Tamandua tetradactyla: one gene and its partner. The main gene of each other region encodes a partner of the protein of the gene in region 2 in a complex. Links are inferred from orthologs where the notes say so. Each region holds a gene or a part of one and is shown on either strand. Other genes may lie near its edges. The genes, in order: PIP5K1C and TLN1.

Region 1 (15,164 bases), on a different chromosome or scaffold from region 2:
CAGGAGGGGAGGGGTCAAGCCCACGGGGAGGGGTCTACCTGGGCCTCTGGAGGGTGAGCTGATGCTTCTTGGGATGGGGATGGGGTAAAAGGGATGGGTGGGAGACAGGAGGAGTCTGCTGGTGCCATCAGGCTGGACCAAGAAGTTTCTGAGTCACCCAGCGCTGGCGGATGGTTTCGGCCATGGGACAGTGACGTCACTGGGAGAGTGAGTGTAGACAGAGAGGGTGGGCCAGGGCCAGCAGTGTAGACAGGAGGGGGCACGGGGCAAGTTGTATAGACAAAGAGGAGTGGCTGGTCTAGGACAAGCAGGGTAGAGAGACGGGGGTAGACCCAGGATAAGCAGTGTAGACAGAAGTGGGGGAGGAGGTCCCAGGGCAAGTAGTATAGACAGAGGCGTGTACCCAGGACAAGCAGTGTAGACAGGAGAGAGGGTGCAGGGTGAGTGGGGTTCCTGCAAGATTTCAAGGCACGTGTGGGGAGAGGATGTAGCCTTCTGTCTCCCCTGCTGGTCCTGGGTACCCTCCTCTGTCTACACTGCTTGCCCTGGGTCCCCCTCCCCTCCTGTCTACACTGCTCACCATGGGGCTCCGTCCTATCCATACTGCCTGTCCTGGACTCTCCCCCGCCATCTACACTGCTTGTCCTCCAGAAGAGACAGTGGAGAGACCAGGGGAGGGATAAACACCAGGGTGCAGGGTCCCCAGAGCCAAACAAAGCGTTTCAGGAAGGACAGATCCTGGGTGCAGCGGCTCAGCCACCAACCTGAGGGTCAGCCAGGCTGAGAGAACTCGATGGAGGAGGGAGCGGGTGTAAACAGCAGTCCTAGAAGCCAGGAGCATGGGACGCATGCTCAAGGGAGGGTGTTTGTCCCACTGACGACCCTCATCAGCTAAACTCCCCGCACCAGGACCCCCCTTTTGCCGACCCCCAATATAGAGCCTCCTACACCCAGATCCCACTTTTACAATATGCACAGCTCTGGTCTTCCTACTCTCCAGTCAGAATCTTAGGTGACTCCCCATGCATTGTTTACGCATTTATTGTACACCTACTGTATACCAACACTGTTCTCAGCACCACAGGTACTGCCCTTCTGGAGCTCACAGTCCAGCAGGGAGAACAGACATTAAACAAAGAGTTGCACCAAAAAATATGTAATGAATAAGCAGTGGCTTCAGCTCAAGAACATTCAATAGCTCCCCAGCATTCCTTCAAAGTCCCGTGCTAGGCTCTGGCCACACACTTAAAAGTTATCAATGTCTTTGAACAATTTTACAACTCAGTAAATTATAGGAAACTGAAGCTATCGCAAAGGAATACTGCAAATTTCTGTAGAAATGCAAATGAATCCTGTCCTGTGGAGAAGGTACAATTGATTATTGCCCAGTGGCTTCTGATCAGTATTGCAACTATTTATAAATTCATTTCCACACTCTTGATTGCCTCTGTGTGTGTGCATGTGTTCTTATAAATTTTCCTTTGAATACCCACATTAATGAATGAGTTAGCCAAACTCATAAAATACCTATCTGTTTCATATCTGTATGAGAGACACGATTTTACCTCTGGGGGTAAAATCCTTTACTATCATAGAGCCCAAAAGCCTCATTCTCCCTCACCTGATCTCCGCTGACCTCCCAAGCTTCCTGTCCCTCCCACCCATCGTAGTCTCCAGACCCCAGAATATTCCACCCATTTTCCTTCCCTGCCTCTGTTTCTCATATATCAGCAAATGTTGTTGGTTCTACCCAAATCCTTCCAGAATCTGCCCTCTTCTTTTCCCTCGACCTCTGGGCTCCTGTCCTCACCCCCACGCTCTGTGCTCCTCACACAGCCAGAGGGCGCCCATGAGCATCTGAGTCAGGGCCTGTCCCTCCTCTGCCCACAGCCCTCCATGGCTCCCACTTCCCTCCAGGGGGGAAAGCCCAGGCCACCAGGACCTGCATCACCTTCCCAGGCCCCTCCCTGGCCTCCCCGCCTCCTGCTCTCCCCCTCCCCGCCTCTGCTCCAGCCACAGGGGCTTCCTCTAAGACGCCAGGCTCAGTCCTGCCCCAGGACCATGGCACAGCCTGCTCCCTCTGCCCCAAAGGCTCTTTCCCTAGAGATCAGTTGGGCTGACAACTCACTTCCTTCAAGTCTTTGCTCCAATGTCACCTTCTCAGTAATCTTTCTATTTAAATCTGTAAAACGCCTTCTCTTCCCCCCTACCCACACATCTGACAACCCCATCCTCTTACCTCTTTCACTTCTTTTTCTTTCTCCTGTCAGACTTACCCTCCTCTCACCCAGGATACAATTTACAATGCAATTCACTCATTACATTTGTTGTTTCTTGTCTGCCTTCTCCAAAACATAGACGCTCTGCAAGGATCGGAATCTTTCTCTACCCTGTCCCTTGCTGAATTTACACCCCACCACCATCACCAAAGCCTAGAAGAGCACCAAGTACACAGTAGGTGCTCAATAAATGCTGTTCCCCGGCCCAGGCGGCCCCTCCTCCCAGTCGGCTCCCTCTGACCTCAGCTCATTCCAAAGGGTGTCAGACTCCGCCCTGAGCAAACACTGCACCCTGGGGCGCCCGGCCAGGCCCTAGCAGGAAGAAAAGCCACCAAATGCCCTCACCGTGGACTTTCCCCAGATTTTGAGGCTGGTGGAATCTCCCAGGCCCTGGCCTTGCCCCAGGTTCAAGCCTGAGTCAGGGAGGCAGGACTTTTACAAGATGCTCAGTCTGGGGCATTTGTTCGGGGTAGGGACGCTCCCTACCCCACTCTTGCATTTCGCCTCTGGAGTGCCCCCTGCCCTTGCTCTGCAGCCCTAGGCCAGCACCTACCCTCTCTAAGCCCAGATTTTTCCATAAAACGGGAAGTGCAACCAGCCTCATTCTCAGTTCCAAAGTTGAATGTGGGGGAAGGGGGGCTTTATCCTGTCCCCTACCTGATGGAGAATCCATTACCAACAATATTGCAATACCTTGGAACCAGGTGACATTTTAGAGAGCAAAAAAATAAATAAAAATAAAAACTGAGATGGGGCTAGAGGAGAAGAGGCTGGAGGCCAGGTCTGGGTGACTCCATGGGTTTTCTCTCCCAGTCCCAGGCATGGTGGGATCTGACAATTCACTCGTGTCCCCCTCATCTTCCTGTACATCACCCCAAAGACCTCAAGTATTCCTCCTTCCAGGATGACCCCAAACTAGAAGCAGGCTCCGCGACCAGATCTCCTGGGCCCCAGGGGAACACAGAGGCTGGAGGCTGCAATCTGACACTCAGCTCAGCAGGAAGCTTCCTTTGTCCCGCCTGCTTGGGCACAAATGACCCAGAAAACTGCTGTCAGCGGACCCCTCTGCTCTCCAGGCTCTGGGCTTCCATTTCCCTTCTGCCTCCTCGGAGCGCTGAGTTCTGCAAAGGGGACAGCTGGGCCGACCTCCGCCACTGCCTGCCCGCATTTCTGAAGTTGCCTGGGAAAGGGGTCCAGATAATTCCCCACCCCGCGACACGCTTCCAGACCCTGGAGTTTCCAGGAGCTGGGAAAGAGGAGATGCAATTTTCTGAAAGTCCCAAAACAACTTCTCTTTGGGAAGTTCCAGGTATTAGGCTGCCTCCCCACTGTGGCTTCTGGCTGCAGCAGGAGGCAACCCTGAGCCTTGGGGGGCATTGACATTCCCTATAGTTTGGGGGATCAGAGACAAACCTGCAGCCTGTGCAGCTCCCCCCACCCGGCCCGGCCCCACCTGGGACAATAATGACTCTTTCAAGTTTTGGGCCGCGGGGCCCTGGGCAGGCTGCCAGTCACGGCCAGAATGATAATCCCTTGGAAACTATGTCAAATGCCCACACAGGAGTGTCAGCTTCCTGCTTTCCGGGGAGTTCGGGGGAGGTGATTGGGGTGGGGGTGGGGGTCCCAGGACCCGGCCGTGGAGATGGCAGGCAGATCGAGGTGCCGGGGTGGGGGTGGGGGGGCAGGGGCGGGGGGTATCTTACCTGGGTGAGGAGCTGGGCAGGAGCCAGGGCCCAGGTGCCCACCTGGCACAAGGGGTGGGGAGGGGACCCGAGGACTTGGCTTTGGACTTCCCACCTGTTTGTCCAATTTCTCCTCCCTCGTGGGAGCAACAGTAGGCGGGCAGGGGTCCCTGCCAAGTGGAACCAGCGCAGGAGAGCAAGCCAGTGAGGGAGTGAGCTAGAGGCCGGCCCCCCTGGCTGGTTGGGTGTGTGGCTCTGTCGCAACGTGGGAGCAGCTGGCCTTAACCCCTGCTTACCCGGAGACCAGGAACACCGAGCCTTGCCCCGTCTGTGGCATTCACAGCCGCACCCCTCGGCGTGAACCAGAAGCTTGGCACATAGTAGGCGCTCAGGAGATATTTGCCGATCTATTAAGGAGTGAACAGTCTATGCCTCGTGGCTTCCCCTGCCCTCACCGTCCGCCTTGACCTTGGACGGCCAAGCCCTGACCCTTGCTGTGTCTTCCCCCAGTTATGCTCTCCCCTCAGATTGTGGCAGGGTTGGCTCATTCCGCCCACAATGCTGAGCTCACATCCTGGTCTACCCCTTCCGAGCTGTGTGGCCTTGGGTAAATCACACAACCTCTCTGGGCTTCAGTTTCCTCATGGGGAAAAAAATTTTTTTTTTTAATGAGAACTGGGCAGGGCGACAGTCACTCAGTGGCAGAATTCTCACCTGGCATGCTGGAGACCCAGGTTCAATTCCTGGTGCCTGCCCATGCCAAAAAAAAAAGAGTACCTACTTCCTAGGATTATTTCAAGGATTAAATGAATGAATACATATAAAGTGCTTTTTGCTAGGCATGCAGCAGGCCTGCTCCATGCGATTAGGTAGTCACTACCCACCCATGACTGGTCTGAATTAATCAGACGTACTGTGAGTGCAAACTACAGGGTGGATTTTGAAGGCTTCACATGCAAAAATGCACAGAAAACAGCTCACTGATTTATATAATAAGGAATTTATATTGAAATGATATTTTGGACATATTGGGTTAAAGGAAATATGTTATTAAATTTTATCTCAACTGTTTTTTTTTTACTTTAGCTACTAGACAAATTTTAAGTGACATCTGTGGTTTATGTTATAGTCCTATTAGAAGGTGCTAGAATAAGCATTCCATAGTATTACCTTCTGAGTCCTGCCTTTTCCTATCACGTGGGTCTTTATTTTTATTCCTTTGCGTTTAAAATATACACAACTTGAAATTTCTCTTTCTAATCATTTTAAGTGTGCAATGCTAAGGCATTAGTTACATCCACAGCATTTGTCTTTTTTTTTTTTTTTTTTAAGCATTTCTTAGCGGCGGAAAGTATCTTCTATCTTAGTCATTTGCTTGTTCCCCTTTCTGGAATATAACCTGGTTGGAGTCAGGGATGCCTCGCTGTGCCGGGTATACGGTAGGCGCTCAATACGTTCTCATGGATGCGTGAGTGAGTGAAGGAACAAACAAACCAACAAACCGACGGACGAATGAATGAAAGGATGAACTACGGGGAGGGGCGTGGACAAAACCCGCCAAACCCCTCCCACCTGCAGGCGGCCCCGGGCGCTGCAGTCAATGGCCGCTCTGGCCACAAGGGGGCGCCGGAAACCAGCCCACGGCCCCAACAGGCAGCCCTCAGTTTTCCACCCCGCCAAACGGGAATGGAGCAAGGAAGCAAGGGATGCCCCTCCTCTCTGTTCCCTGCAGCCTTATGCCTCCCCCCACCGCCTCCAGCTTTTTCTTTTAAATGTAAATGTTTTAATGAAAGACTTGCATGCCTTTCAAAGAGTCGAATAATTACCATTTCCCCAAGTCCATTCATTGGTTCATTCCCTTTTCTTAGCTGGTTAGTTTGACATTTACGTTCACGTCTCTAAGTAACATGTCTGTTTTCACCATTTCCTGATGTTTTAGTTTCGGCATCGAATTCCCAGCAGGAGGGATTCAATCAACCCCGAAGATGGTTTTTGTCCCCTCCTTTACCTCGGTTTCATTCATAATCGTTCACCACCAGCAGCCCCAGCCCTTCTCCAGTTGCCTTAATCAATGGTTCTCAAACTTCGTGGGGCATCCAAATCCCCTGGGGCTCGTTAAAAGTCACGTGTGGGGGCCGCGCCCAAGAGTTTCAGACTTGGGGGGTTGGGGAAGGATGGAGAGAAGAACTCACAATTCTAACAAGCTCCTGGGTGCTGCTTTGCCCACCCCGGGACCCCAGTTTGAGAACCTGCACTCTAAATCTTCTCTCAAGGCAGATTCAGGCTGACTCACGACTTCTATCCGTTTCCCTTTCCTAAAGAACTCTCCTTGGTGTCTTTGCACTGGTCCATCTGGCCCTGTCCTCCTCCACCCATCCCCCACCCCACCCATAGGTGTCCTCCGGAGTCTCTTTCAACCCCAACCCCGGGATTCCCTCTGCCCTCTCCTGGACCCTGTACTTGATATTTTCTCCTTCCTTGACGTGCTTTCTAACTGGCACCTGCTCCCGGTTCCTTGGCTGCCTTTTGTCCTCAAGTCAAAACACCAAGGAGCAACTCAGCCCCTGTGGAAAAACAATTTAGTGGTTTGTTCTAGTTTGCTAGCTGCTGGAATGCAACGCACCAGAGATGGATTGGCTTTTAATGAAAACTCCTAGCCAACTGCAGATGTAATCAGCAACAGATGAGGTTCACATGCCATCAGCTCATGTCGGCAGCAATAGAACTAGGCACCTCCCCCTGGCCAAGTTGACACCTGAACCAAACTACCACATGGTTCTTCAAAGAGTTACACGTAGAAGTACCACGGAATCTGACAATCCCACTCCTAGGTACATACCCCAAAGAACTGATGGCACGGCCTTGGACGGATATCTGTACACCCATGTTTGTTGTGGCATGATTCACCAATAGCCAAAAGGCAGAAGTAACCCAAGTGTCCCTTGGTGAATGAATGCAACAACAAAATGTGGTCCATCCAGTCAAGGGAATATTATCCGGCCATAAAAAGGAATGGAATTCTGATCCACGCGACAACGTGGCTGAACCTTGAAGACATGACATTGAGTGAAAGAAGCCAGACCCAAAAGGATGGATATTGTCTGACTTCACTTACACGAAATAACCAAGACTGCAAATTCGTAAGCCAGAAAGTAGACTCGAGGTTAGCAGGGGCTGGGCTGGGGTGGGGGTGGGGGGTTGGGGAGTTAGAGCTGAGCGGGTGCAGAGTTTCTGTTTCAGGGGAATGGAAAAGCTTTGATGACTGTGGCAAGACATTGTGAACATAATTGCTGCCACTGGATTGTGGGTTTGGAAGTGGTTAAAATGGGAAATTTTATCTTCATATGTTAGCATGCATATTCACTCTCCCACTCACTCCCCCCACCAAAAAAAAGAAGAAAAAAAAACCCAAAACACCAAGCACCTCAAATCCCAGCCTGCTTGACCTCCCAGGGAGTGAGGTGCACATTTTCTGGGGTCAGATTCGTCTGGATAAAACATCCTGATTCCTCTCTCCTCTCTAACTGGGAGAACTGGCTCCACGCCTGCCCCCCCCCAACAGAAATCATTCATAATTGAAAAAAGCAGCGAGAGCAAAATGTATGAATACCCAAATCAGGGCATTGGAATGAGGAACCACCTGATTGGTTCTTTGGCTCCTTCATAAACCCAACATTACTCATTCTTAACAAACCCCACAGTCACCTCTAACACCATAAGCAGCGCTGATTTCGGCATGATTCTCCACGTGATTCCAAGCAAGGGCTTTAACTCTCTGGGCTTCTTGTTTTCTCATGTGTAAAGTGGGGATGATTTTACATCCTGCGGTTGACTAATAGGTAAAATAGTTATCGTCTTTCGGTGCCAGGTTGTGCTAAGCCCTCAGAGGATATTAGCAGCCAAAAAGCAACCTGTCTCTGATTTATGGAGAAGCCGTGTGCACAGGCTTTGAGCCTGACACTCAAGCACTCAAAATTGTTTCTGTTACTGGGATATCGGTATCAATATCAAATGTTGAATATTAAGCAGCTATATTAAATTTTGAATATTAAAAATCAACATTAAGTGGAATATTATCAGCAATACTCTTAAATATAGATATTAAACATTGACTATTAAGTAGTAGTGTTAGCTGTTGGATATTAAATATCAATATGAAAGCGGAATATTATCAACTCCAATATTCAGACTACTGAATATTAGAAATCGCAAATGTCAAATATTAATATATTAAACATCGCATATGGATATCAGCTATCGATATTAGCATTGATATTGACATTAGTATTAAATATCAACACTAAAATAGAATATTATCAATATTAATATTAGCTATCCATACTAAATATGGGATATTTATATAGCAATATAAAAATCAAATATTAAATATCAATATTAAAAATTAATTTACTATCAACATCGATATTATGTGTACTATTAAACACTGAATGTTTAAACAGCGGTACTTAAATGTTGATCACTGAACACCACCATTAAACTGAATATTATCAATATTAATATTAAATATAATGCTAAATATCGACTATGTAAATAGTTTTATAAAAGTCAAATACTAAATACCAGTACTGAATGTTGAATAGTAACACCAAATATCAATATTAGCATTGATATCGAGATCAGTATTAAATTTTGAATACTAAATATCAATATTAAAATGGAATGTTATCAATGGTGATATTAAATATCAGTATGAAATACCAAACATAAGTAAAAACAAAGGCTGAATATTAGATATCCATATTAATATAAGATACAGATATAAGCATGATATAATATTAAACGTTGAATGCTTATTGAACTTGGCTAGTCTCAACATTAATATTAAGTATCAGTAGTAAACACTGAATATTTTGATATCAATATAAATGCAAACATTAAGTATCAATATTAAAAATATTACTATTAGAAATGGAATACTTAAATAGCAGTATTAAACCGAATATTATTATCAATATTAATAAATATCAACATTAAACGTTGGTTATTTAAATACCTATATGAAAGTTAAATGTTGAATGCCAATATTAAATGTTGAACAGCACTAAATATCAATATCGATATCAATGTTGACTATAAAATATCAAACCAAACGTCGATTATTAACGTCAATATTAATATTTTATTAATGTTAGCATTGACGTCAACGTCCGTATCGAATATTGGAAATGTCACTATTAGATGAGAATGACGCTGCACTCCCAACCCTGGACGCCGGGGGGCGCGCGAGGAGCTCCCGAGGCCGGGACGCACGCGGGCCCCGTCCCCGAGCCCCGATTGGCGGCGCGCGCTGTGCGCCACGGCGCCCGCCTGGCCCCGCCCCAGGCCCCGCCCCCGCGCCCGCGGCCCGGCCCCCTCCCTCGCGCTCCAGCCGGCAGCGGCGGTTGTTGTTCAGCGGCGGCGGCGGTGGTGGTGGTGGCGGCGGCGGCCGCAGCTTGGGTCGCAACCTCGGGCCGCTCGCCCGCAGGTCTGCGTGCACCGCCATGGAGCTGGAGGTACCGGACGAGGCGGAGAGCGCCGAGGCGGGGGCCGTGCCCACGGAAGCGGCGTGGGCCGCGGATAGCGGGGCGACGGCAGGTAACGGTTTTGGACTCCCTCCCCTCTCCCCGAATGGACCCGCCTGAGACCCCCCCCCCGCCGGGCCCAGTGGACCCGTCCGAGCGCTGAGGGGCGCGGGACCCGCCGCCTGCGGGAGGCTGGAACGTTCCACTCGGGGGCGCTCGCGGGGGGGACGGAGCGCGCCACGCCGGGGCCCGGGGGACGCGCCGGTGGGGAGGATGGAAAGCCCCGCCCTGGGACGCTCGGCGTGGCGCCGCCCACTCGGGGGTGTCTGGCGGCGACCCCCGGCCCGGAGGCGGCGGGTGGGCGTAGGGCCCCACTCTGGAAGGCCGTGGGTGGAGCAGCCCCTCTTGGAGGTATGCGGGGAAGGTGGTCCCCACTTCCCCCTAGGGGAGGGGTGGGTTGCGCCACTAAGAGCGGGGTGGGGGAACGCCCCAGGCTGGGGGTGCTTGAGGTGGTCTTCCTCCCCGCACTTTTTGGCGAGGGGGTGCTTGCTCTGAGTGTGCAGGATGGCCGGGTATCTCCATTATGGTGCCCGCCACGGGCAAGGGAGTGACACTGCCCTAGATGCGACCCCCTTGCCTGGACCCCCTCCTTTGGGGTGTCCCCCTCTGCGAGTTCCAGCTTCTCGGCCTCAACTCCTCCCCCACTAGCCATCACCTTTTTGGGCACACTTTGTTCATTTGGAAGGGTTGGAGCAGCTTGGGGTGCAGGTGGGGGCTCTCCGGCCATCTGGGTCAGCCTCCTGGCTCTGTCGTTTCTCTTTTTTCTGGAAGTCTTCAGACGTGGGTGCAGGTGCACTGCCCATTTCCTTACCACATTTCCGGATTGTGGTTTACCCACCAGTGAAACGAGGGCTGCAAAGGGATGACATTTGAAGGGGCCTTCAGTGCTGAGACCCCACCAGCAGGTCCTGGGGTCTTGGTGCCCTGTTCCCCAAGCCTCCCTGGGCACTGCCTGGCCGCTGTAGTTGGGGAAAGGGACCATGGCTTCCTTGTGTCCCACTGCTCCTCTCCTGGGCAGGCCTGGCTCACCTTCCTACAGAACAGGTGTGGGGAAGTAGGCAACCTGGCTCAGTGCCCCCGGATTCCCTCCTGCCCGGGTTTGGGGTGGTGTGCAGAGCTGAGCCACAGTCTCAAGGAATGGCTCCTTCCCAGTCGAGGTCGTACGCTACCAAGTAGGAAGTTTCCGGTTCTCTAGAATTCTCTGCTTCCTCCCACCCCCAGCAGCCCTCGCAGGCAGAGTCTCTGCAGACACCCACTTGGGCACCCGTCCTGCCTTCTCCCCCTGGGCCTCCTGAAGCTTCCTTGGCAGGCGAGGAGGTGCCTGGGAGCTGGGAGAAGCGTCTGGGGAGAGAGAAAAAACACAGGAGAGAGAGAAACACTTGGAAGTCTCCCCCCACTCCAAGCCCTCACCGCACCCCACCCCCTGGCTCTGGAAGGCTCTCTTCACTTCCTTTCTCCGTGCCATCTGGAGCCACTTGGTAGATGACCCGGTTAATTCCGACGAGCTGGTCGCCTCGTCCTTGCTCTTTGCCAGCAGTTGGTCGCCTGACCTGGCGAGTAGTGCACGTGGTGGGGGCACCTGGGGAAGTCAGGGTCCCTTCTCTGGCCCCTCTTCCACTGTCAGCCCTCTGGCCTGGGCTGCTCGGAGGCTAAATAACCCCAGACTGGCTGACCACAAGAAAGCAACACCGCAAATGTTGTCTTCTCACAGGGCTCTGCGAGCCAATGGGGGCGTGTGTGTACATATTGTCCCCTGCTCTGGCTGTGGCTGGGTCTGAGCGTCAGGGACCCCCCGAGAAGGAGCGCACCCTGCCTCCCTGCAGTGAGATCCTCCAAAATCCAGTTCCACTGGCCAGCCATTCATTTCACTCATTTTAAAATTCAGAGCTGCTGCCCCCCTCCCCCCACCCCAAACCCATCTTCCCAGTGTAAGTGCTGTTAGCTGCTTGTGCTTTCTTTATTGCTCGGACAAGGGTATAAATATGTAAATGGATCTGTGTGTTTTTTACTAAGATGGATTCGTTGTATAAGTGGTTTCTCTCTCAGCACTATTGACATTTGGGGCCAGAAAATTCTTTGCAGTGGGGTGGTGGGGGCACGCTCTGTGCATTGTAGGGGGTCGAACAGCCTCCCTGGGCTCCTCCGCCTGCTCGATGCCAGCAGCTCCCCTTCCCCCAGACATGACAGCTAAAAATGTCCCTAGTCTCCATTGAGGGTCCCCCATGGGCAGACTCACCCCTGATGAAAACTGCTGTCCTGTGCCTGTCCTATAACTTGCTTTTTCATCTGTAAAAATCTGGATTTCCTGTCCCCATCTGGGTTTGAATCCCAGCTGCTGTGGGACCTTGAAGGGCGGCTGCCTCAGTGGCCCCGTCTGTAAAATGGGGTCGATGATAATACTCACCTCAGAGGGTGACCGTGGCCTCGACCCAGTGTGAGCACCTCACAGACCTTAGGCTTACAGCCAGATCAGTGTTGACGTGTGTGCAAAGCCTACTGTAAACCTGCCTGAGGTTCATCCAGTTGTAATTATGCTGTCGTCGTTGTCACTGAACGTGACCTGCGCCCGCAGACACCTCCATTTCTAGCCGAGGGATTCCCAGCCATGGAAGGACCAGGTCCAGGGCATCCAGGCTTGAACCTGACTCCTTGATGCCCCACAGCTTGCCTCAAAGATTGGTGTGACTCGTGGCCTGTCCAACAGGGGCCGAGAGAGGCGGGGGGTTTCCTCCCTATGGTGGGGCTGGCTCCCGATGTGATCGGCCAGGCTGATTTGGGCAGTCCTGTGGGTGCGAGACAGGGTCTTTTAAGGGCTTAGAATCCGGTTCCTCTCCATGCATGGGCTTCTCACCCCCAGAGCATGGTCCAGGAGGGACTCGGGAGGGCTTGATAGAGGCTGTCCCTGCCGGCTCCGTTCATGGAAGGGGTCTCGGGAAGGCTTGGGGGTCGGAGATGGTCTCTGGGTGAGCCGCAGAGGCCGGCGACCTGCCTGGGGGCTGTGGTCCAGGAGTTCCCAAGCCTCCATCATGGTGACCCCTCGGGACAGTGTGCTTCGTTCCTGACCCCCTCCCCACCCTCAACCCTGGCCCCCATAGCGAGTGCTATACCTCGTCGGGTTTGCCTTCATAATTGGAACCCCCCCCCCCACACTTCTCCCTACCTCCTCTGCCTCCATTCCAGGCCAGCCCCAGTGTGGCGCGCCTGGGCCGGTGTGGTCATGCCTGCCCTGGCCTCCCCCCGCCCCAAGCTCCCTCCAGCTCATTCCAGAAGAGTTCTATCCCAAACTGGAATTTTTAGTGGCATCCTGTCCCTCCTCTGCCCACAGCCCTCCATGGCTCCCGCCTCCCTCCCCCAGGCGCTGCACGCCCTGCCCCATTCTGGGTGTTGGAAGAAACTGAAGACAACTGTCCCCTTGTAGCAGCCCTGAGCCCTGCATGTGTGCAGGGACCTGCCCCGTCCCCTCCCTGCCCTCCCCTCCTCTGGCTCTCTCCCTCTCTCCCTCCACTCCGGCCACACCCGCACTGGCTTCCTCCAGCTCACCAGGCCTGGCCCTGCCTCAGGGCCTTTTCATGGGAATATTTTTCCCCCATGTCTATGTGGCTTACTTCCTTAACTTTTTCAAGTTTTTGGGCAAATGCCACCGCTTCCGTGGGGCCTCCCCTGCCCCCTGCCCCATTCCCTTGAGCCTGCTTTGTCACCATCGCATTGTCAGGGCGTGACGTGCATGGCTTTTCTTCCTTGTCTTCTACCCTGTGAAGGCAGAATCGATTGTCTATGTAGTCCCCTTCATGTTCCCTTTACCCGGAATGCCTGGTACCCCACTGGGAAACGTCAGGTGAGTGAGGGAGCCGGCTGCCGAAGAAGGAAGAAAGCAGGAGGAGCTGCAAAAGGGAATGGGGTTGTATGGTAGCCCACAACAAACTCTGGGATCTGTCTTGTAACTACTTGTTGAAGAGTAATTTGAAAACTATTTTTTTTTCTTTGCTTTGTGTATATGCTGTACTATACAATAAAAAAAGTTAAAAAATAAGAAAAAGGGAGTGGGGTAGACAGGAACAGCTTGCCTGGAAGGAGACATTTGTGCGAGCCCTGCAGGAGACAGAAGTTTCTGGAGCATGCAGAGGGCACAGCCAAGGCCTGGGGCTGGAAGGGTACAGGGTCCCTGGAGCTGCTAGGGAGGCAGTGGTGAGCCAGACCTGGGTGGGGAGCGACCCTTTCCTCTCGGGCCCACAGTTGGAGTGAAGGGTCATGGAGACATGATGCCCCTCTGTCCCTCCTTATGGGTCAGCAGTGGCCAGGGCTGAGATTGTGGATTTGAGGACTGGCGGCTCCCGGTTCTACTTTGACCGCCGGCACCTTGGTCCCCAGAGTGGGGAGGCCTCAGCACCTAGGCCTCCTGGGTCCTCAGTGCACCCACCTGTGCGTGGGTGCTGTTCTCTGGGCCACCGCGGTACTGGAGCGAGCTCGGGCGCAGGGCCCACAGGCGCTGACCTCCGTGGACGTGTCAGCCAGATAGAGCAGGAGGGCTTTGGGCTCATTTACCGAGGCTGGCGGTGGAGTGGACTTTTCTTCAGTCCCAGGATGGGCATTTATTAAGCATGTAATGAGCTCCTCCTGTGGGCCAGGTGGGGTTCCAAGTGTCGGGGCCACATCAGGGGCTGAGAGCAATGCCCTGGCTACCCCCATGGAGCCCTCAGGTCATGGGGTAGGACCCAGGGTGCGGGAGGTGAGCAAGGGGACACTTCAGGCCAGGGCTTGGCAGGCTGCGGCCCGTGGGCCAGATCTGGCCTCCTCTGGTTTTTGTAAATAAAGTTTTATTGGCACACAGGCCCACCCGTTCACGGGCACATTCCCTCTGGCGGCTTTCACGCTGCAGTGGCAGAGCTGAGGAGTCATGACACAGGCACAAGGGGCCCGTGGCTCCAGAAACACTCACTGTCTGGCCCTCAGCAGAAACAGTTTGCCATTCGCTAGATAAGATCAGGCTGGACAGCCATGAGTGTGCTGGGGAGAAGGAAGCAGGCCGTTGTGGGGACAGCGAGGGGCCAGGACCTGCTGGCCCGGCCGCCGAGACCTGGATGAGAAGGTGCAGCCACGGGCAGGCAGCAGGGGTGGTGGGCGCGGAGGCCGCAGGGCGGGAGGGCACGGGCATGTGGGAGCAGCAGAGGTAGAGTCGGTGTAGTCAGGGGGGAGCCAGGGGGCCTCAGCGGGTGGAAAGAGGTGAGAGGGATGTGGATCTCCAGGTGGATTTTGGCCTGAGCCTGGGGAGCCAGTGGCTGAGGGCAGAAGAATTCAGGTGGGGCAGGTCTTGGGGGACCCAGAGCTCTCTGCAATGCTGGAGCTAATAGTGGGTAGAGAGGGCAGTGGAGGGCTACTGGGAGGCTCCTGGGGCAGGTGGACCTCCCAGGAGGCTGGATGAGCTGGGGTACAGCCATGCACCCCCAACTGTTTCTCCCAAACTGAGGGCACTTGGTGTCCTGAGGATTCAGCAGCACAGAAAGAGGTGAGTCCCAGCCCTCGTCACTGCTCACCAAACAGTGACTGCGGGGCCAGGACATTTACACATGGGGAAACTGAGGCTCGATAGGGTCTCTGAGGGCCGTGAACCCTCAGGCCTTCCC
Region 2 (14,661 bases):
GGCCTTGTCTCCACATTAGGGCTCCGTAGCCCTGGGGCTGAAGGGTGCTGTCCTGATTTCTCTTGTTCTTCTCTCAGGCCGAAGTACCCCCTCACAGAAAGGAGCAGGTATTGCTGGGGCTGTGTGTGTTACGGGCAAGCTTCCACCTCGAGGCCAGTGCCGCCTGGAATTCTCACTGGCTTGGGACATGCCCAGGATCATGTTTGGAGCCAAGGGTCAGACCCACTACAGGTGATGGGACTGAGAAAGTACAGGGATCCAAGGGGCTGGAGCCTTGCCTGGGACCCATATTCTCATCCCTCCCCTTTTTTCCCACCCCAGGCGGTACACAAGATTCTTTGGGAAAGATGGTGTTGCAGCACCTGCCCTTAGCCATTATGCACTGTGCCGGTATGCAGACTGGGAAGAAAGGATCTCAGCCTGGCAGAGCCCAGTACTGGAGGACAGGTACCAGTGGGGCCCATCTCTGTGGCCACCTTGCCTTTCTTCCAGGTATCCACTCCAATTGAAATTCCTTGATTTACTCTCCACCCACCAAAGTCAGCAGAATTGTGATGAGATTTGCTTGGTGTCTCTACTCTCCACTGAACCCCAGAATCTTTCCTTTCTTGGGGCATCCACACTCATTAGACCATTTCCTTCTCCTAACTCCCCAGATCCTTGCCTGCTTGGTACAAATCTGCACTGTTCAATGAACTGTACTTCCTGGCTGATGGAGGCACCGTATGGCTGGAAGTTCCTGAGGACTCCATATCCGAGAAGCTGGTGGGAAGCATGAGTCAGCTCTGTTCCATCTTTCGGGAATATGGTCGATTTGGCTACCTTGAGGGTATGGGCTACCAGTGGGCTACAGTACGGCAGGCCATACCCTCAAGGCCAGTGAGTGTCCTATAACAAGGCAGGATGATGGCAGAGTACTGATTGGGATGGGAGGGTAAGTGGCACGTGAGGACAGCTGACAGTGCCCCACATCCAATTCTAGAGAACAAGTTAGAATGGGGGCTATGAAGCAGAAGCGGAATTCTAGTGATAGTATGTCTCCCTCATTTCCACAGGCCAGGAGTATCGCATGTACAACACATATGATGTCCACTTCTATGCTTCCTTCGCCCTCGTCATGCTTTGGCCCAAGCTTGAGCTCAGCCTGCAGTATGACATGGGTGAGGGTCCCTCTTATGCCTCTTCAACTCCCTTGTTCCCCACACCCCTAAACTGTTGTGGCCACTCAGATTCTTTTCCATCCCCTTCTCCCTAATACGTATCTGCGCCCTGCTTACTGGTTCCCTTCTAGGGCCACACACACAATTTTGGGTCCCACCCCAAGTTTGCCTATTCCTGCCAACTTGGGGTAGTACACTCCAAGTATATGTGTGCCTCCCCAGCTCTGGCCACTCTCAGGGAGGACCTGACACGGCGTCGGTACCTGATGAGTGGGGTGATGGCATCTGTTAAAAGGAGAAACGTTATCCCCCATGATATTGGGGACCCAGGTAAAAAGCCCTCTACTTCAAGGTCATCTTCCCTCCCTCAACTTTTACACCCTGTATCCTACTCACCAGTGCCAATTAACCATGTACCCTCCCCTCCCCCAGATGATGAGCCGTGGCTCCGGGTCAATGCATATGTGATCCACGACACCGCTGACTGGAAGGATCTGAACCTGAAGTTTACACTGCAGGTGTATCGGGATTATTATCTGACGGGTGACCAGGACTTCCTGAAGGACATGTGGCCTATTTGTCTGGTAAGGGATACATGTACAGTGGCCAGTGTGCCAGAGTCATGACTGGCTTCTGGGGAAAGCCTAGCTGACATTATCTTTCTTTAGTATCTAGGTCCTCAATATCTGTGTCCCTTCCCTAGGCTGTGATGGAGTCTGAAATGAAGTTTGACAAAGACCATGATGGACTTATTGAGAATGGAGGCTATGCAGACCAGACCTATGATGCATGGGTTGCCACAGGACCCAGGTTAGGAGATAGGGGGTTCCAGGAAATCTGAGATGAGGAACTGGGCACCAGGGGATGGTGAGGCTCAGGAAAGGGTACTTTATTTCCTGTTTTATTGCAAGAGAGTGGCTGGAGCTGCCAGTCTGACTCCCAAACCCATATTCCTGATCAGTGCTTACTGTGGAGGGCTGTGGCTGGCAGCTGTGGCTGTGATGGTCCAGATGGCTGCTCTGTGTGGGGCACAGGACATCCAAGATAAGTTTTCTTCCATCCTCAGCCGAGGCCAAGAGGCCTATGAGAGGCTGCTGTGGAATGGTGAGTTGGGGGAGGGTGGCTGGAAGGTCCTAAAGTATCTTAAGGCAGCTCTGGGGATACAGGGAGCCTTACTTTGCTCTTCCTCTACCCCAGGCCGCTATTACAACTATGATAGCAGCTCCCAGCCTCAGTCTCGTAGTGTCATGTCTGATCAGTGTGCTGGCCAGTGGTTCCTGAAGGCCTGTGGCCTAGGAGAAGGAGACACTGAGGTGAGAGGGACTAGAAAGAGGAGCCAGAGAGAAATGAGGAGTCTCCCTGGAGGTGTGAAGCAAGTATAAGGGACCATGTTTCTGTGCTGCCCCTCCAGGTATTTCCTACCCCTCATGTGGTCCGTGCTCTCCAAACCATCTTCGAGCTCAATGTCCAGGCCTTTGCTGGAGGGGCCATGGGGGCTGTGAATGGGATGCAGCCCCATGGTGTCCCTGACAGATCCAGTATCCAGTCTGATGAAGTCTGGGTAGGTGTGGTCTACGGGCTGGCAGCCACCATGATCCAGGAGGTAATGCATTCCCCTCCCCACCTCCCTACCATTGGCACCTTAGTCAGCAAACTTCCTCAGCTAACAAACTTCTTCAAGGCCTAACCAATGGCATCTTATCCTTAAAGCCTCCCCCTTTCCCCAGGCATGCATCCCAATTCCTATCTCCCTCAGTCTTCTGCTTGGGTCAGGTTTATCTTCCCTACCAGCTGGGAGCTCCCTGATGGCAGAGAGCCTATAGTCTCCATTTGTCCAACTGAAGTGGCTGTTCTGTGGATACCAATATATGACTGCCTGTTCAGGGGTTACCAATATATAACTGCTATCTCTCCTCACAGGGGCTGACTTGGGAGGGCTTCCAGACAGCTGAAGGCTGCTACCGCACCGTGTGGGAGCGCCTGGGTCTGGCCTTTCAAACCCCCGAGGCTTACTGCCAGCACCAGGTGTTCCGCTCGCTGGCCTACATGCGGCCACTTAGCATTTGGGCCATGCAGCTGGCCCTTCAGCAACAGCAACAGCATAAAAAGGCCTCTAAGCCAATAGCTGAACAGAGCACAGGGCCTAAATTTGGACCAAAGGAAGTCACAACAAACCTGAGCCCAGAGTGAGCCCTCTGAACTATGGGAGGAAGACAATAACAGCCCAGCCTCCAGCCTGGCCTTTTCTCCCTCCCCCAAAATCTCCTGCAGCCCTGAGCCACCAGGACAATCATGCCTCCTCCCTTTCCCTTACCCAGCTATGCCAGTAATGAGGGGTTGGGGTGATCCAGGCATCAAAATTACATATTTATTTATTTCCTCACCACTTTCTCCTACTGCATGAAATATTCAAGGAGGCCAGTTGATTCCCCCAGGCCCATTCATGGGGCAAGAGAAACACCAAGATACTAATAAAGGACCCAAAAAGCCAGTAAGTCTGGTGTATTTGAGCCCCCAGGCAGTTCTCTCCCATTCTTTTTTATTTGGATATAAACTGGGAGCCCAGGCTCCTGCTGAGCACCCTCCCCTCCATTCTCCATCTAGCCTGAGTATCTGCCCTGCAAGATCACAGATGAGGGGCTCTGGGTAAGAAGCCATCTCCTTTCTTTTGTGAGATTTACCTGCAGAAGGATGGGACTTGGGCAGAGGGGCTTTGAGAAGGAGTCAAGGATTGGCATCCTCAGGGGAGTCTCTGCACCAGAAGCCTGAAGTATGTGATATAGCAGACAGGAAGAGTTGCCAGGGGCCTGGAACACGTGGTCTGAGCTATCCAGCAACTGGTTTGTGCTGTCCTTTGGTACCTCTGACCGCAGGACAGGCCATTCCCACTGGTGAGGCTCCTCACTGGGGAGAGCACGAAGCTGGCGGGACAACACTGAGGAGACAAAGAAGGTCTTCAGAGGTGGGCCCAAGCCCTTTTCCCCAGCCTGTACCTTAATGGTATCCTCAAGCCTCTCACCTCCATGTTCAGCTGGAAGGCTCCCCCGTGTGTCAGAAGAGTACATAGCAGGCACGAGGAGGAGGCAGAAGGAAAAGAGGAGGACCTGGAGCACAAAGAAATGAAGACAGGTTCTAGACTGCACCCTGCTCCCATTTCCCGGAAAAGGACCTCCTTCCGTCATCATCCTCACCAGGACACAGGTGCTGCTGCTGCTGCTTTTGTTTGATATCTGAATCATGATGGCCTGGAGTTTCCTCAGCTGATCCAGAAGGGACCTGAAGAAAACAGGGACAGTGAGCAACCCCTGGCCTGGCTGTTAAGGCCACTCCCTCCATCTATGCACTGGATCCTTTATCTTTTCTTCCTATTTTTACCAATAACTTCTTCCTTTCTGCCAACAAAATGTCTCAAGTTCCTCATTAAAACAAACAAACAAAAAAAACCTCTCTGCCTTGCTCTGACTTATACTCCTTTGCAAATACCTATAGTGTTTTTTTTTAATGCCCTATCAACTAGGCAGATCATATTCACCAGGCATTCCCTGCACTCTACCTTCTGGTCCCAACTCTACCATTTTACGGTTCCAATCAAACCGGACTATGTTTTATTCTCTCTGCCTAGAATGCTTTCACTACTCCCAGAATACTACTCCCTATTAAATGCCATCTGCCCCATGAGGTCTTTCTTGCTTTCCTCCTTTCTCTTACTTGGTACTTATTTATCCTTAGTTACTCTGAATTTATTTCCCCATTACTGCAAGCTTCTTGGAATCAGAGCCAAGAGAAGTCCAAGTACCAGCCTCACATGTGGGAGCTGCCCAGTGAGAAATCAAGTGTGGCGCAGGGGAAAGACAGCATTAAATGGGAAGGAGAGGAGGGACTGATACTGGAGGGTTGCTTACAGATTCTGTTCCTCCAAGAGCTGTACTTTGTTCTTTAGCTCCAGATTCTGGGCTGTGCATTTCAGCACCCTAGGGGAATAAGACAAGCATATGGCCTGTATCTTCCCTTCAAAAGCCAACTATCTCTCCTCCCCCAACTCCTCTCAGAGTCCCTTTCCCCTTCATACCTGCTTTCTAGACCCCCCACGTACATCTTCTTCTTTCTACGACTCTCTTGAGCAGACTTTTTGTTTCGAATCTTCCTCCGCACTCGTTTCAGAGCTTGTTCCTCCACCTGGGAGAAGAGAGGAAAGGAACATCAGAGAAACATGGAACCATAGAGTTAGAGAGTAAATGAGTTCAATCTTCTTCCCAATGTAGGAAACCTTTTCCAAAGTGTCCCTGACCAACAAGCACTAGACTTCTGTCTGAATGCTTCCAAGTGTCAGATGTTAATACTCCCACAAACCCAGATCAAGTTTAAAATCTTTCTTATCCTGAGCCAACATCTGCCTCCTAATTTCTATCCATTGGGCTTTAGTGTCTGATATCTGGGACCATGTAGAATAAACCATGTTTAGCTATTTGGCACTTGACATTTCTTCACAATCTTCCTCAGAGTTAAAAACAAAAGTAAAACTTGCTCAAAATGTGTAATTCTTCATCATCCTGCTCTCCTCAGGGTGGACTCCATCCTGTTAATAACTGTCAATGATCTGGGTTCCAAACGGGACACTAAGAAATGCTTTCACTAATTAAGGAGAGCAACACCCCTATCAATAGAGTCTCCAGATCCCATTCATTTTTCAGTAGCCACTTCATGTTAATGACTCATCTTGTACTTTTTTAAGAAGTTAAAATTCCCTTAATCTTTCTGTCAATGAACATTGATTTTATCACTGTATCACAGTGTTGTGCTTGTGAAATTATCACTCATTGCCTGTAACTTAAAAATCAAGAATTTACATTTATTTTCGTTAAACTGTTGAGTTCAGCCTTGTCAAATTCTAAAGCTCAATTCTACCATTCAGCAAGAGGTGGATTACCATAAAGCCATAGATATCTAAGTTTCAGGGCCCCTCACTTGGCACAGTCTTTGCTGAGACCTTATACTAATGTTGCACTGATAATTTTGAATTTTTTTCTTAAAAAGAACATCAAAATTTGTATAAGCTTCAGACCCCACAAAATCAGCATCTGCTTTTATTTCTAGCATATTAACTACATGCCCCAGCTTCCTGCAAGCAACAAATTTGCTAAATTTCTTACCTCAGTTCCTTTACAAGTTACTGATAATACAATTAACAGGATTGACCTGCTTGGCACTCATACAGTGTCCCCTCCCCACAAGCCTTTGCTCCCTATAGGACTCTTACCTTAGTGAGAGGAAGAGTCCCAGGCAGAGTAAACCCCTCCTTCTCCAATAGCCTCTTCTCCTCATCGGTCAGTATCAGACTACCAATCTCCTGGGGTTATGGGGTGGTGGGCAGCAGAGTTGCATGAAGATGTCAGAAAATGGGGAATCCTGCCCCCCCCATACAATTTGGGATTAATCCTCCCATAAGTCAAGTACCTGCTCTGCCTGCTCCTCCACCTGCAATGGAGTCATCTGGGGCCCCTTCTTTCCACAGCTCCCACTATCTGCAAACAAGAAAGTAAGAATAGCCAGGTCCATGAGCCCTCTCCTCTCTCAAATTTCATTTATTTCAGACTCACCGAGATCTACAGAGCTATATTCCTGTGGGAGGGAGTAGGTGTGATCATGGTAAACGGGACAGAGGTTGGAGAAGCTGAGAACGTTCAACGATGGTGGGGGGCTCAGCAGGGAGGTCAGGAAATCCTCCACCTCCCATTCGCTCAGTACCTGCACAGGGTTCAAATTAATGGGCTGTGACTGATTACTAAATCTCTGCTTCACGAATGCCCCCCTCCCCCTCCGGCCCGCGCCTCCCCGACACAGAACTCTCACCCACCTCAGCGAGTGGCAGCTCCCATTCCTCCGGAACCTCCACGGCGGCCTCCTCGGACGCCGCCCCCAAATCTCCGCTTTCCTCTAGCAGGAAGTCCAGCAGGTCCTGGTCACCGGGGCCCAGCGCCAGGTCCATATCGGTTTCCACGGGGGGTTCGACCATCTACCCAGCCCCAAATCCCGTGCCCCAGGAATAACCTCCAGCCCAGTATGCCTCCCCCAAATATCGTAGGGTTTCTTTTCCGCCGGGCTTTCCCCTCTAGAGTCTGACGCGCCTCCCAGAGCCGATTCTCTTCAGCTTCCAACACAACAGAAGTGACGCTTATAGCCCTCATGGCATTCTGGGACATGAAGTTCCTCCCAATGCAGAAGTGGCCTTGGGGCCGCGCCACGTCCCTGGGGCTATGCAAACTAGAGCGGACGTTCCTGCTGGCCACCTCACACCCACGGGGCGGGGATTCTAGGGATCCGGCTCCGCCTTCGCCCAAAACGAGAAAAGGAAGGGTTAGAGACTAAAAGGGAACTTGGGCACGGTTCGGACGTTTTCGTCCGACCGCGCCGCACCCTTGCTTCCTGCCGGGGAGGGGCTGCGCGTCTTCGGCGGGCTGCCGAGCATCGAGAGCTGGCGCCAGAGCAGCTTCCTGCAGTCCCCGCAACCATAGAGCGCGGGCTCAGGGCGCCGCCCGCGGGTGGGGGACTTTCCGGGGACGGAAGTGATCGAGAGAGTGTCTCTCGGCGGGAGGGCGAGGCCGGAGCCCGAGAACGACCGGGAGAAAGAGCGGGGTAGCGGGCCGGCGGGCGGGGCACAGAGCCGGGCAGCGCAGGTAGGCCGGACGGGGCCGAGCGGGAACGGCGGGGTGGGGCCGCGAGGCTGGACCTGGGAGGCGGGCTGGCGCGCGGGCGGGGCCGCTGACTCTTCCTGCGTCTCCTGTTTCGGATCCTCTTGGAGAGGTCAGCTTCCAGTTAGTGAATGTCGCATTGGATTCAGAACTAAGTAGGCTGTTTGCTGGAGCCAAGCCCTTCCTGGGAGCAGTCCTTTTCCTGAGATGGGCTTGGGGGAGGGGGAGGACTTGGTTGGCAGTGAAGCTCGGGGCGCGGATAGGCTTTGGGGTTAGTTGATAGCGGCTATGTGGATAGGAAAGCTTTGGGTGAGTTTGGTATTAAGTGGCATAGGGTTTAGGATTCAAGGTTAGCTTTAGGAGTTAAGACTTAGAGTTATTAATGTGTCAGGTCCGGTTTGTAGGCAAGGTTTAGATTAAGATCATGGTTTTGTTTTTTAGGATGGCTAGCAGACGTCAGAGTTAAGAGTTAAGGGGTCAACAAATGGGAATTAGGTTAGACCTACATTTTAGGGATTAAAGATCGTTGGCGTGGTTAGGTATGAGGAATAAGCAGTGAAGGAGTGGGTCAGGAATCAAGTTACACATGAGCTTTAGGTTTAGGGATCAACATTTAGGGTTAAGGTTGAGGGGGTTCCCAAAGGTAAAAATCAGATCGGTATTATAGATCAGGGATTGGGTTACCATCTCTGCTGTGAAAGAGATGAATGTCAAAGCCAGTACTGGGGATCAAAAATAAATTAGGGTTGGGGTTAATGTTAGGAATTAGGGGCAACTTTACGGTTATGGTTGAGGTCAGGGTAGTTGAACTTGTTCTGGTGAAATTTAAGAAGTTCTTGGTAGGTAGGTGCCCTTGTTTTGGGCAGAGGTCTCATTCCTTTGTAGTCACAGGGAGCTTCTTGGGCTAAATTCAAGCTAGAGTTCTGGGCTTCAGTTGGAAGTGCAGGTGTCTAGGATTCCAGCATCTCTATCCCATCCTCTAAGACCAGGGCTCGTATTGTGGTCATTAAAAGTTGGAGGACTGGAGTTCCTAGACTCTTTTGTTTAAAAGAAGGGAGGTAGAGTGGGGATAGAGGCCCAAGAAATGTATAAAGCCAAATCATAAATGGGGGACTACTAAGGGAGAAGGGATTAGTGACTAAGGGAGAAGCCGGCCAAGGAAACACTGTTGCCCTGGTGAAGAGAATGGCTGAATCCCCCAAAAGTTCACCCCATTGCCTCTCACTGTCCTCTCATTCTCTAAATGTTTTTTAAATCTCTCCAACTGTCATTCCTGGCCCTGCATTTCATTCCCTCACACGAATACTTCCCTTGCCTTTAACCCTCTCTTATTATTCATTTTACTTAAGTTCCCAACCTTAATTCTGCTTCCCTCTCCCCTTCTTAATCCACACATCTGACCTTACTTTACCCTCACCCCAAAACTTGAGCTTTCCCATCATTTTAAAGCACTCTTCTCCCATTCTCACCCACTCCATCTATACCACCCTTTTTCAGCACAACGCAACTGCTGAACACCCCAGTCCCTGCTGTGTGCCATCCTTTAATTCTTAGCCTCCTTGAATTTCTTGGTCCATTTGCAGATCCCCTTCCCCCACTCCCCAAACAGAAAAGAGGAAATGAGACCCAAAGAGGAAACTGGGTCTTGCTGATCCCACGCCCAGCCAGGCCACTGACCACACCCCCATTTCACACCCAGCCTGACACGGCCACTGACCACAACCCTATGCCATACCCAGCCTGACCCTGCCACTGGCTATACCCCACACTCCACCCCCAAACTCCAGCTTTTCTTAGCCACAGCCAGTGTCCCTTCACCCTCATCTCCAGCCTAATTTGGCCACTAACCACAGCCTTATTTCTTCCCTACCCTCTCTAGCCTGATCTGGCCTCTGACCTCACTCCATCTTTCTCTCTGAGTCTGACATCTACTGCCCACATATTCATTCCTCCCCTTGCCCCAGCCTGATCCAGTGACTGATCATATATTCATATTTCCTACTATTGTCATCACCACTAGTCTTCTCCCTCCCCATATTGATGCATTCACTGACCACACCCCATCTGCCCCTACCTGCCTACTAACCACGTATCCATTTTTCCCACCGCCTAACCATACACCCTAACCACAGCCTCATCCTCATATTCCCAGCCCAGCCTGATCTGTCCTCCGTCTTCCCATTTTCTTACCTAATCTCATGCTACTACCAATGACAGGAAGCTATGGAATTCCAGCCTAACCGTGAGTCCTTGTCTGATAAGATTGACAGGACAGACTGTTGTCAGGTCCTGTCAGTTCTACCTCTTAAACTTTCTTTAAAGTGACATCCTCCTCTCCACCATTCTAATCTTGGCTTTATTATCACTTACATTTGCTAATATGGTGTCTCTCTAACCAATCTCCTAGGTAATTGCCAGAGTTATGTTCCTAAAAATCCAGTCCTGATCGTATCTCTTCTCTACTCAAAAGCCTCCCCTGGCCTCCTGTTAACCTCCAGAATGTAAAACTCCTCATTATCCTCTCTTGTCCTCCCCTGCCTTTCCATCCTAACCCTAACTTCCCCACCACTGCTCCCTTGCGGGCACCCATGCTTCAACCAGCCTACCTGCTCACTTCCCCGAATGCTCCTCCACAATTTCCTGCTTCTCCACTTTTGCATATGCTCTTCCTTCTGCCTGGAATGCTACCCCTGACCCATCTCCAGTGGCCTAGTGGAGAAAGCCTGGGTTCAGATCATGGCTCTACAAGTTATTAGCTGTGTGACTCTGGACAAGTGCTCTTTGAACAAGTACTTCACTTTGAACCTCAGTTTAATAATCTGTCAAAATGGAGATGATGCCTGCCTTGCAGGGTTGTTACATGTAAGGATCAAATGAAATTTTGTATACAAAGCAGTTAACATATAGTTAATAAATGACAGATCGTTATCATTTTTTATTATCATTATTATTTTTTAATCTAACTTCAAAGGACAACTTTTTCATGGGGACTTTTCCTATCCACCTTCCCTAACCTAATCAGATGGCTCTTATCACAGCCTGCTCTTTATTGTAATTCTGTACTTGACTTATCCATCCTCTTGACTGGGAGCTCCTAGAGGGCAAAGCTGTTGTCTTACTCATCTCCCTTCCCACCCACTGAAAGTTTTGGCCCTCGGCCTTCCCCACATTGGGGATGCTTACTGAGTGAATGAAGAATGCTTACTGGGTGAATGAAGGAAAATGTATACCTAAAGGAAAAAAGGATGTTGGGAGGAGGGGGGCTGTGTGCTTGAGATGGGGTGTATTTAGAGGGGAAGTTGCTTGCATTGGATGGAGTCTTTATGGAAAGATCAAATGGCTGCAGTGGCATCTGAGTCAGGGCTCGGTGACTGAGATAACAGATATACAAAGAGACGCCATGGAGGTAGCTTTGTGAGAAAGAGCTCTGTGATGGGGGTGTGTTTGGGGAAGAGAAGTGTGCATGGGATAGGGGTGTATGCGGGGAGGATGTGTATTGGGGAGGTCAGGCCCAGCCCTTCAGCTGCCCAGTCCAGCTCTAAAAGAGCCTCCGGCAGCTTGAGGCCGGATATGTCAGTCTCACCCACAACCCCCCCCCACCACCACCACCACAGTTGTGGACTCAGAGGCCAAATTTGGTAACAGACTGAGTATTACTCCCCCAACCCTCTTACTTTCTGGCTCTGCCTTCAGTTTTCTCTTCCCCTTTGTCCCTTTCTGTAACCCCCTATCTTTCTGCGGCTCCCTTTGTGGTTATCTACACAGACTGTATTCTCCATGTACCCCAAATTCCTTCCCCCAATACACTTACATTCCATTCCTTCCTGGGATTTGACCTCTTATCCTCCATCTCACCCTCCCCCCTAATTGCCCAACTCCTTTGGAATGCATTTCAGGAATGTCTTGAGGGAGGAGGAGTTCCCTGGGAGGGGGACACTGGTGGGGGGGGGGGGTGGAGACAGAGATGGTGTTGCTGTTTCATTCAATTAAAAAAATGGGGAAAAGGGAGCAAATTTCCCAGCCAGAGCAGAAACTGCTTCTCCCCATACTTCCAGGGACCCTATTTCATGCCACCACCCCATCCCACCCCAATTCATTGCTCCATTCTCTCTTGGAGCCATGTGGATGTCTGCTCAGGAACCGCCTGGGAGTAAGGGTAGGCATGACTCAATGCCCTTATCGGGGTCCCACCAGAGGTTTCCGTGCATGAGGGAGAAGAGGGTGTCCATGTCCGGAGGAAATAGGGGGGAGACATGCATTTTCAGCTGAGGTAAAGGGTCCTTTCAGTCCTGCCCTCAGCTCTCTTACTCCTCCAGCTTCTCTGACCCTCCAGCCCTCATTCGTGGTCAGCGACTCCAGTGCCAGGTCTGTCCAGCTATTGGGAGACATGCCCCAGGAATGTGAGTGTGTATGTGTGTGCACGCGCGCGCAGAGAGCTGGAACAAGGGAAACTGGGAAGATCCTCTCTTGTTTGAGGGTGAAGATAGAGCTATGGTTTCTTGTCTTGAAACTCTAGATTTTATAAAGCCAGAAACAGTCTTGTCAACTGTGCGGTTGCAGACCCTTGATCTAAACCTTTCCCACATCTGCCTCCTATCCCCTGTTGCTACCTGGATTTCCAGCTCTCTCACCCCATCCCATCTAACCTCCCCATCCTCCAAAAACATACCCCTTCCCAACTTCCCTACTTCTCAATTGTTCTTTGTATCCTAACAATCCCACTTCTGCTTCTAACCTTTTCTTTTTCTTCTGCTCTTTCTCCCTTGGGGCTGGCAATTTGCCAGAAGGGGAATGGGCACCTGGACTTGGTCATTCTTTTAGCTAGAAGCAGCCAATCCCTAGACCATCCCATCATCAACTGCCAGGTAGACTTGTCTTCTTGCCATCTGTGTGCCACCTGCTGCCTCCAGTGGCTCTTCCAGCCCACCAAGAGGTGGTCGTGCCAGGAGCTGCACTGAAAATACTGTCAGGGGAGGCAGCTGAGATGAAGGGCAGAGTTTGAGAAGAACTTGCTGACAAGGAGAAAGCATAAGAGGAGTTGCTGTAAGAACTGAGTATTTACTCAGAAGTAGTTTGAAATGTAGCAAGGACTGACTTAAAAAGACTGGGCTTTTTCTCTGACCCACCTTGAAAGTTTTTCCTCTCAGAGTCTGTTTTCCCCTGTGCAAAATTGAAGAATTGACTAGGTAATTTCAGATATAACTTTTTTTTTTTTTTTTTAGCTCAGATGCAGCTTCATTCAGTGTTTTAACATGATTAGGTATTATTGTGCTGTCCATTTTTGAGTTTTTGTATCTAGTCCTGTTGCATAGTCTGTATCCCTTCAGCTCCAATTACCCATTATCTTACCCTGTTTCTAACTCCTGCTGGACTCTGTTACCAATGACATATTCCAAGTTTATTCTCGAATGTCCGTTCACATCAGTGGGACCATACAGTATTTGTCCTTTAGTTTTTGGCTAGACTCACTCAGCATAATGTTCTCTAGGTCCATCCATGTTATTACATGCTTCATAAGTTTATCCTGTCTTAAAGCTGCATAATATTCCATCGTATGTATATACCACAGTTTGTTTAGCCACTCTTCTGTTGATGGACATTTTGGCTGTTTCCATCTCTTTGCAATTGTAAATAATGCTGCTATAAACATTGGTGTGCAAATGTCCGTTTGTGTCTTTGCCCTTAATTCCTTTGAGTAGATACCTAGCAATGGTATTGCTGGGTCATATGGCAATTCTATATTCAGCTTTTTGAGGAACCGCCAAACTGCCTTCCACAGTGGTTGCACCATTTGACATTCCCACCAACAGTGGATAAGTGTGCCTCTTTCTCCGCATCCTCTCCAGCACTTGTCATTTTCTGTTTTGTTGATAATGGCCATTCTGGTGGGTGTGAGATGATATCTCATTGTGGTTTTGATTTGCATTTCTCTAATGGCCAGGGACATTGAGCATCTCTTCATGTGCCTTTTGGCCATTTGTATTTCCTCTTCTGGTAGGTGTCTGTTCAAGTCTTTTTCCCATTTTGTAATTGGGTTGGCTGTCTTTTTGTTGTTGAGTTGAACAATCTCTTTATAAATTCTGGATACTAGACCTTTATCTGATATGTCATTTCCAAATATTCAGATATAACTTTGAGCTAGAGAATCATAATTCTAGCTTGACTGCCAGGGAAGCCAAATATGGGACTAAGCTCTTCAGAGAGGCCTCGTATGTCTCAGATTAAGAGAAAAGCTGAGAAAAGAATGAACCAGGATGACTTAAACAGCCAGTGTTTGGTCTCCTACACAGACTAGTTTGAATCGGAGTTTGCAGGCTTCTAGAGCCCTTAGGGATTATCTGATATAACATCTTCATTTTGCAGAGAAGATGCTAAAGCTATGAGAAGGAAGGTCACATGATGAGTCAGGGTAGGGCTCTGAAATCCCAGATAGGGAAAAGCCTGCAGGACATAGTGGGAGACAAAAGGGAAAAATACTGAACGAGGAAAAGACAGAAACCAGGCAGGAGGCAAGGTTGAGAAAGGAGCCGAGCAGGTACAAAGGGCAAGAGAAAGATACTTGGAGGAAAGAAAAGAGGCACAGATTCCAGGGAGCAGGGGGTAGGGGCTGGGTGGATATCCTCAAGTAACCCTGCATTTTAGACCTGCTGTTGTACTTTGCAGACCAGCCTCTCCCTCAGATAGCCTGGACAGTTAGGACTATTTCTTGTAACTAATATTTAACTTTTAAAAGTGATTAAAACCAAAACGACTTCAGTACCACCTGCTTTGGGGAGCCCCTTTTAAAAGCACCCCTCCTTGGGACTCCATCT

What was found.
Region 1: the proteins of TLN1 (region 2) and PIP5K1C are in contact, whole or in part, in a crystal structure (PDB 1Y19), measured with the Mus musculus proteins. The link is inferred for Tamandua tetradactyla from reciprocal best matches to the Homo sapiens genes TLN1 and PIP5K1C. Residues at the interface, in NP_035732.2 of Mus musculus: Pro209, Val210, Gln211, Leu212, Leu214; in NP_032870.2 of Mus musculus: Pro646, Leu647, His648, Tyr649, Ser650, Ala651.

Annotation. Positions count from the first base shown.
Region 1 is NC_135337.1:78,774,431-78,789,594, forward strand, and holds the start of PIP5K1C (phosphatidylinositol 4-phosphate 5-kinase type-1 gamma), read left to right. Parts: upstream 1-9,367; 5' UTR 9,368-9,462; coding exon 9,463-9,556; intron 9,557-9,817; exon of another isoform or gene 9,818-9,894; intron 9,895-15,164. UniProt on the Homo sapiens protein: Catalyzes the phosphorylation of phosphatidylinositol 4-phosphate (PtdIns(4)P/PI4P) to form phosphatidylinositol 4,5-bisphosphate (PtdIns(4,5)P2/PIP2), a lipid second messenger that regulates several cellular processes such as signal transduction, vesicle trafficking, actin cytoskeleton dynamics, cell adhesion, and cell motility.
Region 2 is NC_135328.1:60,052,611-60,067,271, forward strand, and holds the start of TLN1 (talin-1), read left to right. Parts: upstream 1-7,493; 5' UTR 7,494-7,834; intron 7,835-14,661. Other genes in the region: GBA2 (non-lysosomal glucosylceramidase), read left to right, coding at 78-231, 322-447, 657-829, 1,056-1,160, 1,383-1,490, 1,593-1,744, 1,864-1,970, 2,122-2,264 and 3 more; CREB3 (cyclic AMP-responsive element-binding protein 3), read right to left, coding at 3,761-4,436, 5,063-5,131, 5,230-5,336, 6,418-6,507, 6,615-6,682, 6,758-6,929, 7,015-7,173. UniProt on the Homo sapiens protein: High molecular weight cytoskeletal protein concentrated at regions of cell-matrix and cell-cell contacts. Involved in connections of major cytoskeletal structures to the plasma membrane.